Linked DNA regions of Arabidopsis thaliana. The protein of the gene in region 2 interacts with the protein of the main gene of each other region in a biochemical or structural test. Each region holds a gene or a part of one and is shown on either strand. Other genes may lie near its edges.

Region 1 (3,756 bases), on a different chromosome or scaffold from region 2:
TGACATTGATTTAACATTTCACATTTGTATGCACTAATACGAATATAAATATTTATGTAATTCTCTCCCTGATAGAGACCAGGATCTCATCAACAGTCCGAATCAACATATAGGCTAAAAATAGGCGAAACCAATTATACAAACACAACTTTTGCATTTGCTATACACGAACCACCAAATCGGCAACAATATCAAATTCGTAAATCGTATAACCACCGATCCATGAAAATGTCGATTTCAAAGAATAATCGATGGAATCGTATAGAGATAGAGAGAGGAAGTAGTACGGGGAGATCGAGAATGTAATCGCTCAAATGAGGAACATCTTCGAGTACATAACCAGCAGGTCCTTCCACCAACTTAATCTGCTCGTCCACGCCATTAGAAGCCATCGAAGAAAACCTTATTCTTCTGAGTGTTTTTCTCTCCGGTGACGTAAAGCGACTGTGAATTTGAAGCGTATGTATGTATGTGAGTTTTAATTCTCAGAGCTCAGAGTGGTATAGAAGTAAGGAACGAGAAAGCGACGTCGTTTTGGCTCACCGTTACTTTATGATATACGGACATTACCGAAATACCAGCGTAAACGGCGGCTGGTTTTTCCTTTTGTCAATTTCCGGTTTTCAGATAATTGATTCGTGGATAAATGCAGAAGTATGGATAAAATCTCATTAATTATCTTTATTATACCTTTAAAGAAAATGACAAAAATTAAACGATAAGAATATCTTAATATTTACGAAATATATTCTTAGTAATTTCTCTATTTGGTGTCAAAAATATATAGGCAATTTTTCTATTCTTTAATTTCTTAAGATTTTTTTTTTTTAAAATCATTTTTTCTTAGTATATGGTATTGTTCATGACAAAGAGAGAAATATCATATCCTGTTGAGAAATAGCATTTATAAAAACTGATTTGTTTTGTAAAAATAATAATGTCAAGCTAATGTATAGATCGAATAGTTATTTTAGCTTAAAAATCAAATTTCTGAGAGGAGAAAATTTATCTTACAAATCTTTATAACGCTTAAGTATAAAAAAAAGATCTTAATACACAATTGTCCGAAAAAATCATTTTTAAACTATCAAATTATCGGTTTAAACTTTTTATTTGATTAACAAATCAATCTAAACTTTACAAATCTTCATGAATCAATTTAGGATTTAAATATCAAACAAGTGGATTCTAAAATAATAAAGTTTCCTCTCCAATTAGGAGTATAATGAATTACATATTTGGAAAGAAAAGATTCGAGTATTAATAAATTTTAGATGAATTTGATAAGTTTTAGACAGTTAGGAAAGTTGTTACTATTTGTTATTAAAAATATTTGCAATCTCCCTCACTAAAAAAAAATAATATTTGCAATCTCACAAAACCATGAGAATTGGGTCTTTGTAATTTTTAATCAAGGAAATCCATTATTACATCACTAATTGAAATTCATGTTTGTATATACAGCCTAAACTTTTGTATATACAGCCTAAACTTTTGTATCTTTTATTTAAAAACACTTTAATATGTTAAAATCCAATATAGTATCAAAATTATATCAAAATCTAATAAACAACACACCAGTTTTCAACTTTATCAATTAAAATTAACAGATGGTGATTTTAAATCAGTTGGTTTCCATCGACACATGATTTCTAGTTACCAATAATCCCACTAACCCCATTAAAATCTTTAAATTAAAAATCTGAACAAAATTATCTAATTTAGATTTGTTTTCAAAATGATTACAATGTTTTCTTGTTTTGAACGGAGACTTATCGGCTCCCTCCGTAAAATAATCATACACATTAATCCACTAATCAAAATTTAATTATAAAATCGAATCGCCGTGTACCTAATATCTTCCCCAACCTTTGCTCTCTCTCTCTCTCCATCTCCCTCATACCTCCTTCTTCTTCTTGATCCATCATCTCTCTCTCTTTCTCTCTTCTCTCTGTTCCTAGTCCATCGATTTAACCTCTTTCAGATTCTCCTTCTTCTTTGACTTTTTTTGACACCGTAGTCTCTTTCCCCTTCCATCGATTTAGGGTTTCCGATTTTCAAAATCTCCTTTTTATTTGTTTCCTCTCCTTGTGCAATTCCCGTCTCGAATCCATCTTGACCTGGGGGTCTGATCCGATCTCCCTCTAATCATATCGTGAAGCGAGATTATGTTTTTGTGCTGCGCTTCTGCTTTGATCGCTTAGGATTATCAATCGTGTTATGATGGTGGGTACTCAAAATTTAGGTGGTTCGTTGCCGCCGCTGAATTCTCCTAAAAGCTATGGAATTACGAAGCCGCTCTCTCTTGCTGGGCCTTCTTCGGCGGATATTAAGCGTAATGTGGAGCTGGAGAAGGTAAAGCTTTGTTTTTTTGTTTATACAAAAATTGTTCCACTGTTTAAAGGATTCGTTGATTTGGCTTATCTGATGTGTATTTTCTTATATGCTCAAGTACTTGGTTGATGAGGGACTCTACGAGAGCAAGGATGATACCATGCGGCGAGAGGAAGTTCTAGGACGCATCGATCAGGTGACTCAGCGTGTCTCGTTGATTGTTTGTTCTGTATATTTACAAGTGTTATCTTTTGATGGTTGTGCTAATTGGGTGTCTGAATCGACAAGAATAAAATTATTGTGTTTATAATGGTCTTTTAGGTTTCATTGTATTGGTTCTTACTCGTGTATGGTTGTTGATTTTGGGCTAAGCATAGATCATAGTTCAATATGAAATAGACTGGTCAGGCATATGTTCTTATGTCCATTGATTTACTTTGCTGTTTTTAAGTTTCTTCACATGCTGTTCATTGTGCTATTTGTCTGAAACTATCAATCTTATCTCCCACCTTTTTTTTTTAGATTGTAAAGCACTGGGTGAAACAGTTAACGCAGCAAAGAGGATATACTGATCAGATGGTGGAAGATGCAAATGCTGTCATTTTCACCTTTGGATCCTACCGACTTGGCGTAAGTGCTACTTGTTTACCGCTTCCTTGCTTTTATCTTGAAGCTAAAATGCGTATAATATGTTTTTTGCTATATGTTTGTGGATTACTCGAGAGATCGCTCTGTTTTTGTCTATGCAAATGCAATCTTAGTCTCTGAGGCTGAACCGACTTCAATTTTGTTCACTTTGCAGGTGCATGGTCCTGGGGCTGACATTGATACTTTGTGTGTTGGGCCATCTTATGTTAACCGGGAGGTGACTCTTGCTACCACTTATTGATGCAGAAGTTTGATTCTTTAGTTCTTAACACTTACTCTTTACAGGAGGATTTCTTCATCATCTTGCATGATATATTGGCTGAGATGGAAGAAGTGACTGAGCTCCATCCTGTTCCCGATGCCCATGTTCCGGTCATGAAATTTAAGTTTCAAGGAATACCGATTGATCTGCTCTATGCTAGCATATCACTTTTAGTTGTGCCACAGGTAATTTTCTGTGAATTTATTGTATCTTTCTTTGTTTTTGCTGAAGCTGTAGGGTCTGATAAATTTATATTAGCTTGTATATATTATGCTATATGTTGTGCTTGTTTGCATGTTGATGGAGACAGATAGTGTATTACTCATCCTCAATGGCTTATATAGTAAACAAATTTATTTTAGTAGTTTCTGGCTTGAGAGAGAGATCTGAAAAGTTTGCTGGCTATTTTGGTGCATCGGTTTTGATTTTTATATGAAAACTGAGCCCGTGAGCTGTCATGGTAGATTACAATCTCTTGCTGAATCAAATTTCTTGTTTTCATGGATTTGGTT
Region 2 (3,756 bases):
TTCTATGTACTAACAAACACTAATGAGTTACTTATAATTTTATAAACAACCTTTGGACCAGGTGGAGCATTATCCAGATCAGTCTTGTTTATCAACAGAGTGACATGCCTGCATGTGTTTAAATTTCATGTGATGTCTTCTGTATTCTAAACAAACGACGGCACAAATAAGGCATTCTTATAAGAAAATCTACCTCAATAGAAAGGCATTATCACGTGAAGTCTCAAAGGACTTTGAAATGGAGTCACTCATCCACTCGAGGAAACTCTTAACATAGTCAATTGTGCTAGATGACACGTACGTGAGAAAATAAATGGGAAAGCTGAAACCTCTTTGTGACCAATGCTGCAGGTTTGATCAATATCCAGTCTTTAAAAAACAGCTGAACATTAACTAAGAGCATGATACATTCAAAGCGGTTCTATTACCTGTTCAAGTATCAAGAGAAGTTCCAGGACACGACCCGCAGTGTCTACTGGCAATAGAACATTTCCTCCAACTTCAAGATGTTTTGAAATGGTATCTGAATGATAAATGGGGACATGCACACATGTTTCTGGCAGTTAGAAGCGGGCTGTTTTAAATACTATAGAAGATACACAACACATATTGGGCTACAAGCTAACCTAGAAATTCTTTGTCCCTTTGCTGTCTTGCGGTTTGATTGGTATAAAGAGCATGATATGCATCGGTTATCAGAACAGCAGGCCGAACAAAAGACTGTAAAACAGTTCCATTCAAATGCCTGAATTAAGATATACAATTCAGTATCACGAGTCCACATCTTTACTTACTGTTATGAACATTACTCGAACTTCAAATAAGATAAAATCTGAACATATGTACCTTTCTTTCCGATGATTGTAGTCAACAGCATATATAACATCCTCCCCATCCTTTGTTATCCTCCAGATGCTACCTCCCAGCATGTGTCCAGCAACATGAGGAGCAATTACAATACCCTCTCCCTTTCCTGATAGGGCAACGATAAAACCTTGAGACATCCTAACAATCTTTGAAGTCATAACTTAGGTTTCAACAACCAAATACTCAATGTGTGTCAAAGAACTCCTTCCCGATATGAGATCATAGATAATGCAGATCAAACTTGCTTGAGATAAGTGTCAATTGTTTCTAGTTTGCTATAGAGCCTAGAAATCACTAAAACCACATACCAGAAAGATGGTAATTTTGAGAGTAAGTCAATCTGATCACATTCTGGAAAGCAGAATCTATGTCATCCAGTGTAAACAGATCAAAGTCGGATACTTGCTGCAACAGTAAGATCATCGTGTTACAATGCAGACAATTGCGCAAAAATAACCACTCCAGTAGTTAACAAAATCTCACCTTCCTGGACAAAAACTGATCATACATTGTAAGGAGACCTAATCTATGAACAGGCTCAGTAGCATAAACAGGAGCGGAGAGTCCAAGCTGCTTCATAGCATAAGGAAGAGCACCAATGTGAAGTGTATCTGGATGAGAAAGCAAAACTGCATCTATAGTAGAAGCAACCCTGTAAACCAGAAGAATCGAATTCAAAACAAATTAGATTGGTGAATTCTGGAAATGTAGATAATAAGGATAGAGAAACCTGGAGAGAGGTTCGAGGAGCGATGTGTCGAAGAGATCGTTCCAACCACAGTCGATGAGGAAGTTGAAACCATCAATGGAGACTAAGTAGGAGAGAGGATTCTCGTTGTAAACTCCGCAGAGAGGAGTCACTTGCACCGAAGTACCCATCTTTTCCGTTCGCCGATATAAACCCTAAAATTTCTCCGATGAACTAAAGAAGAAGAAGCCACCGTGAAAGAGGGTTTTTTAATTCTGTAATAATAACCTCCCCGGTCCATATATTTCCTTTTACTTCTAAAATAACCCTTTTCTTTTCAAATTGTTCATTTGGTACATATAATCTTTGAAATTTTTTCTCTCTTTACCTTGATTTTTTAACCAACACAAAGAGGGATTAGTGAATCTTTTACCAAAAAATGTTGTGGTAGCAGTGAAACATAGATGGTGAGTCCATTATAAGCATATGAGTCAATTCTATTGTATGTTCAAACTTCAAAGTAGATCGGTTTCATTATGATTGCTCATTCATTTAAAATTACATGAAACTTCATTCATTGTTTCAACATGAAAACATTAAACACACCCTTAAGGAAAAATAGGCAAATCTCCGTTAAATATACTAGAGTAAATCAAAAACTTTTAAGCAGTTGTACCAAATACACTAGATCTATGAGCATATGGTGCAACCAGAAGACCATTACAAGTTGATAAGAACTTACGCATAAACCTTTGTATTTATTATCCGTAAATCCCAATTACAATGAATCAAAACCCTATATTGATAAGATCGGAGTTACAATGCTCATCTCTTATCATCAAGAACATAGCACACAAGCCCTAATTCTCCTCACAACATCAATGATCACGCAGGATAATCTCTATAATTCCTCTCTAATATCCCTATTTATACTCTTTTATTCTTCTCATGCTTCTCTTTAGCTCTTCACACGTGCCTAATTCTCCCACATGTGTGCTCTCTTATCACTAATTAGTAAATGTTGCAACTAAAAGATCACTACAATGGTAAAAAAATGTTGGAAATCTCTTCTATGAAATAAGAGATATTAATGAATGAATTCACTTTCAGTTAATTTTGAATTAAACGTATTTGAATTCTGATATAGTATCGAAGTTCAGATCATTTGACATAGGTGTGTTGCGTAATACTTAATAATTCAATAGTTCGAGATGAACTATATATATCATTTGTTAGGAATATGATGGACAATAAGAAACAAGTAGCTGGTATGTTGATTGTGACGAATGATAAGTTCTTCCTGATTTTATTGATGCACGTTAGAAAGCCAAACAACATTTTGATTCAAAATTGTGATAGCTTCACTTCAAAGGCAACACAAAAAAAAAAAAAAAAAAAAAAAAAACATATGCATTTGGTGAAGGAGGACCCGTGAGGACCAAACCAAAATCATAATGGCTAAGGATAACAACCATAACTAACTATCAAACCTTTCTTTCTTGATATGAATATGAAAGTTGTAGTTAGGTAATAATAGGTTGATTAGTTAAAGAGTGTAAATAAATGTAATTATTATACTTGTTTTCATAAGAAAAATGACCAGAGAGATTGAAGACAATTGTTTGTGTGTGTTTTTTTTTGGTTCTTTAAAGATAGATTAAGAAGATTCGGTGAACCTAAACCAAAAGACACCTAAGAATGTGATTTTCGATTCTAATTCATCAGCTGGTGACCCACCCATCAAGACCCATCTCCATACTTAGAAAAATATCTAAAAATACAATACATTTTTTATAAATAAATAAAAAGAAAGTATCAAAATATGGTTATTCTTGCAAAAAAAAAAACTTTTTTTTAATCATTTGTTTTTTGTTTTTTGGCCTTATCTACGCCCTATGCTGTCTACTGCACATAACTAAACTTAGCTCTCGTGTGAAACTGATAAGTAGTAGTGTAGAACTGTTTTTGTGAGCCTGTGGCTGTCACTGAAATTTGTTTTTAATACCAATACAGAAATTGGATTTCAATACATTTACAGATTGAAAATTCTTACAAAAACATAAACAATGAATTTACAATGGTGGACCACAGTAGAATTACAAGGAAATATTTACTAAACGAAAATAGAAATCTGAATGTATAGAGGGAAATGAATCTTTTAGCTCAACAGAAAAATTTCATCTATTTTTAAAGCTAAAGTT

What was found.
Region 1: the proteins of CPSF100 (region 2) and nPAP form a complex in vitro, tested with the Arabidopsis thaliana proteins (one study listed by BioGRID).

What each region holds. Positions count from the first base shown.
Region 1 is NC_003075.7:15,847,914-15,851,669, forward strand, and holds the start of nPAP (nuclear poly(a) polymerase), read left to right. Parts: upstream 1-1,858; 5' UTR 1,859-2,220; coding exon 2,221-2,355; intron 2,356-2,452; coding exon 2,453-2,530; intron 2,531-2,856; coding exon 2,857-2,964; intron 2,965-3,136; coding exon 3,137-3,199; intron 3,200-3,267; coding exon 3,268-3,429; intron 3,430-3,756. Other genes in the region: PFK6 (phosphofructokinase 6), read right to left, coding at 288-392. UniProt on the Arabidopsis thaliana protein: Essential protein. Polymerase that creates the 3'-poly(A) tail of mRNA's. Also required for the endoribonucleolytic cleavage reaction at some polyadenylation sites.
Region 2 is NC_003076.8:8,050,540-8,054,295, reverse strand, and holds the start of CPSF100 (cleavage and polyadenylation specificity factor 100), read right to left. Parts: upstream 1,858-3,756; 5' UTR 1,747-1,857; coding exon 1,598-1,746; intron 1,520-1,597; coding exon 1,351-1,519; intron 1,273-1,350; coding exon 1,176-1,272; intron 974-1,175; coding exon 847-973; intron 746-846; coding exon 627-745; intron 524-626; coding exon 429-523; intron 346-428; coding exon 194-345; intron 109-193; coding exon 51-108; intron 1-50. UniProt on the Arabidopsis thaliana protein: CPSF plays a key role in pre-mRNA 3'-end formation, recognizing the AAUAAA signal sequence and interacting with poly(A)polymerase and other factors to bring about cleavage and poly(A) addition. Required for antisense-RNA-mediated gene silencing.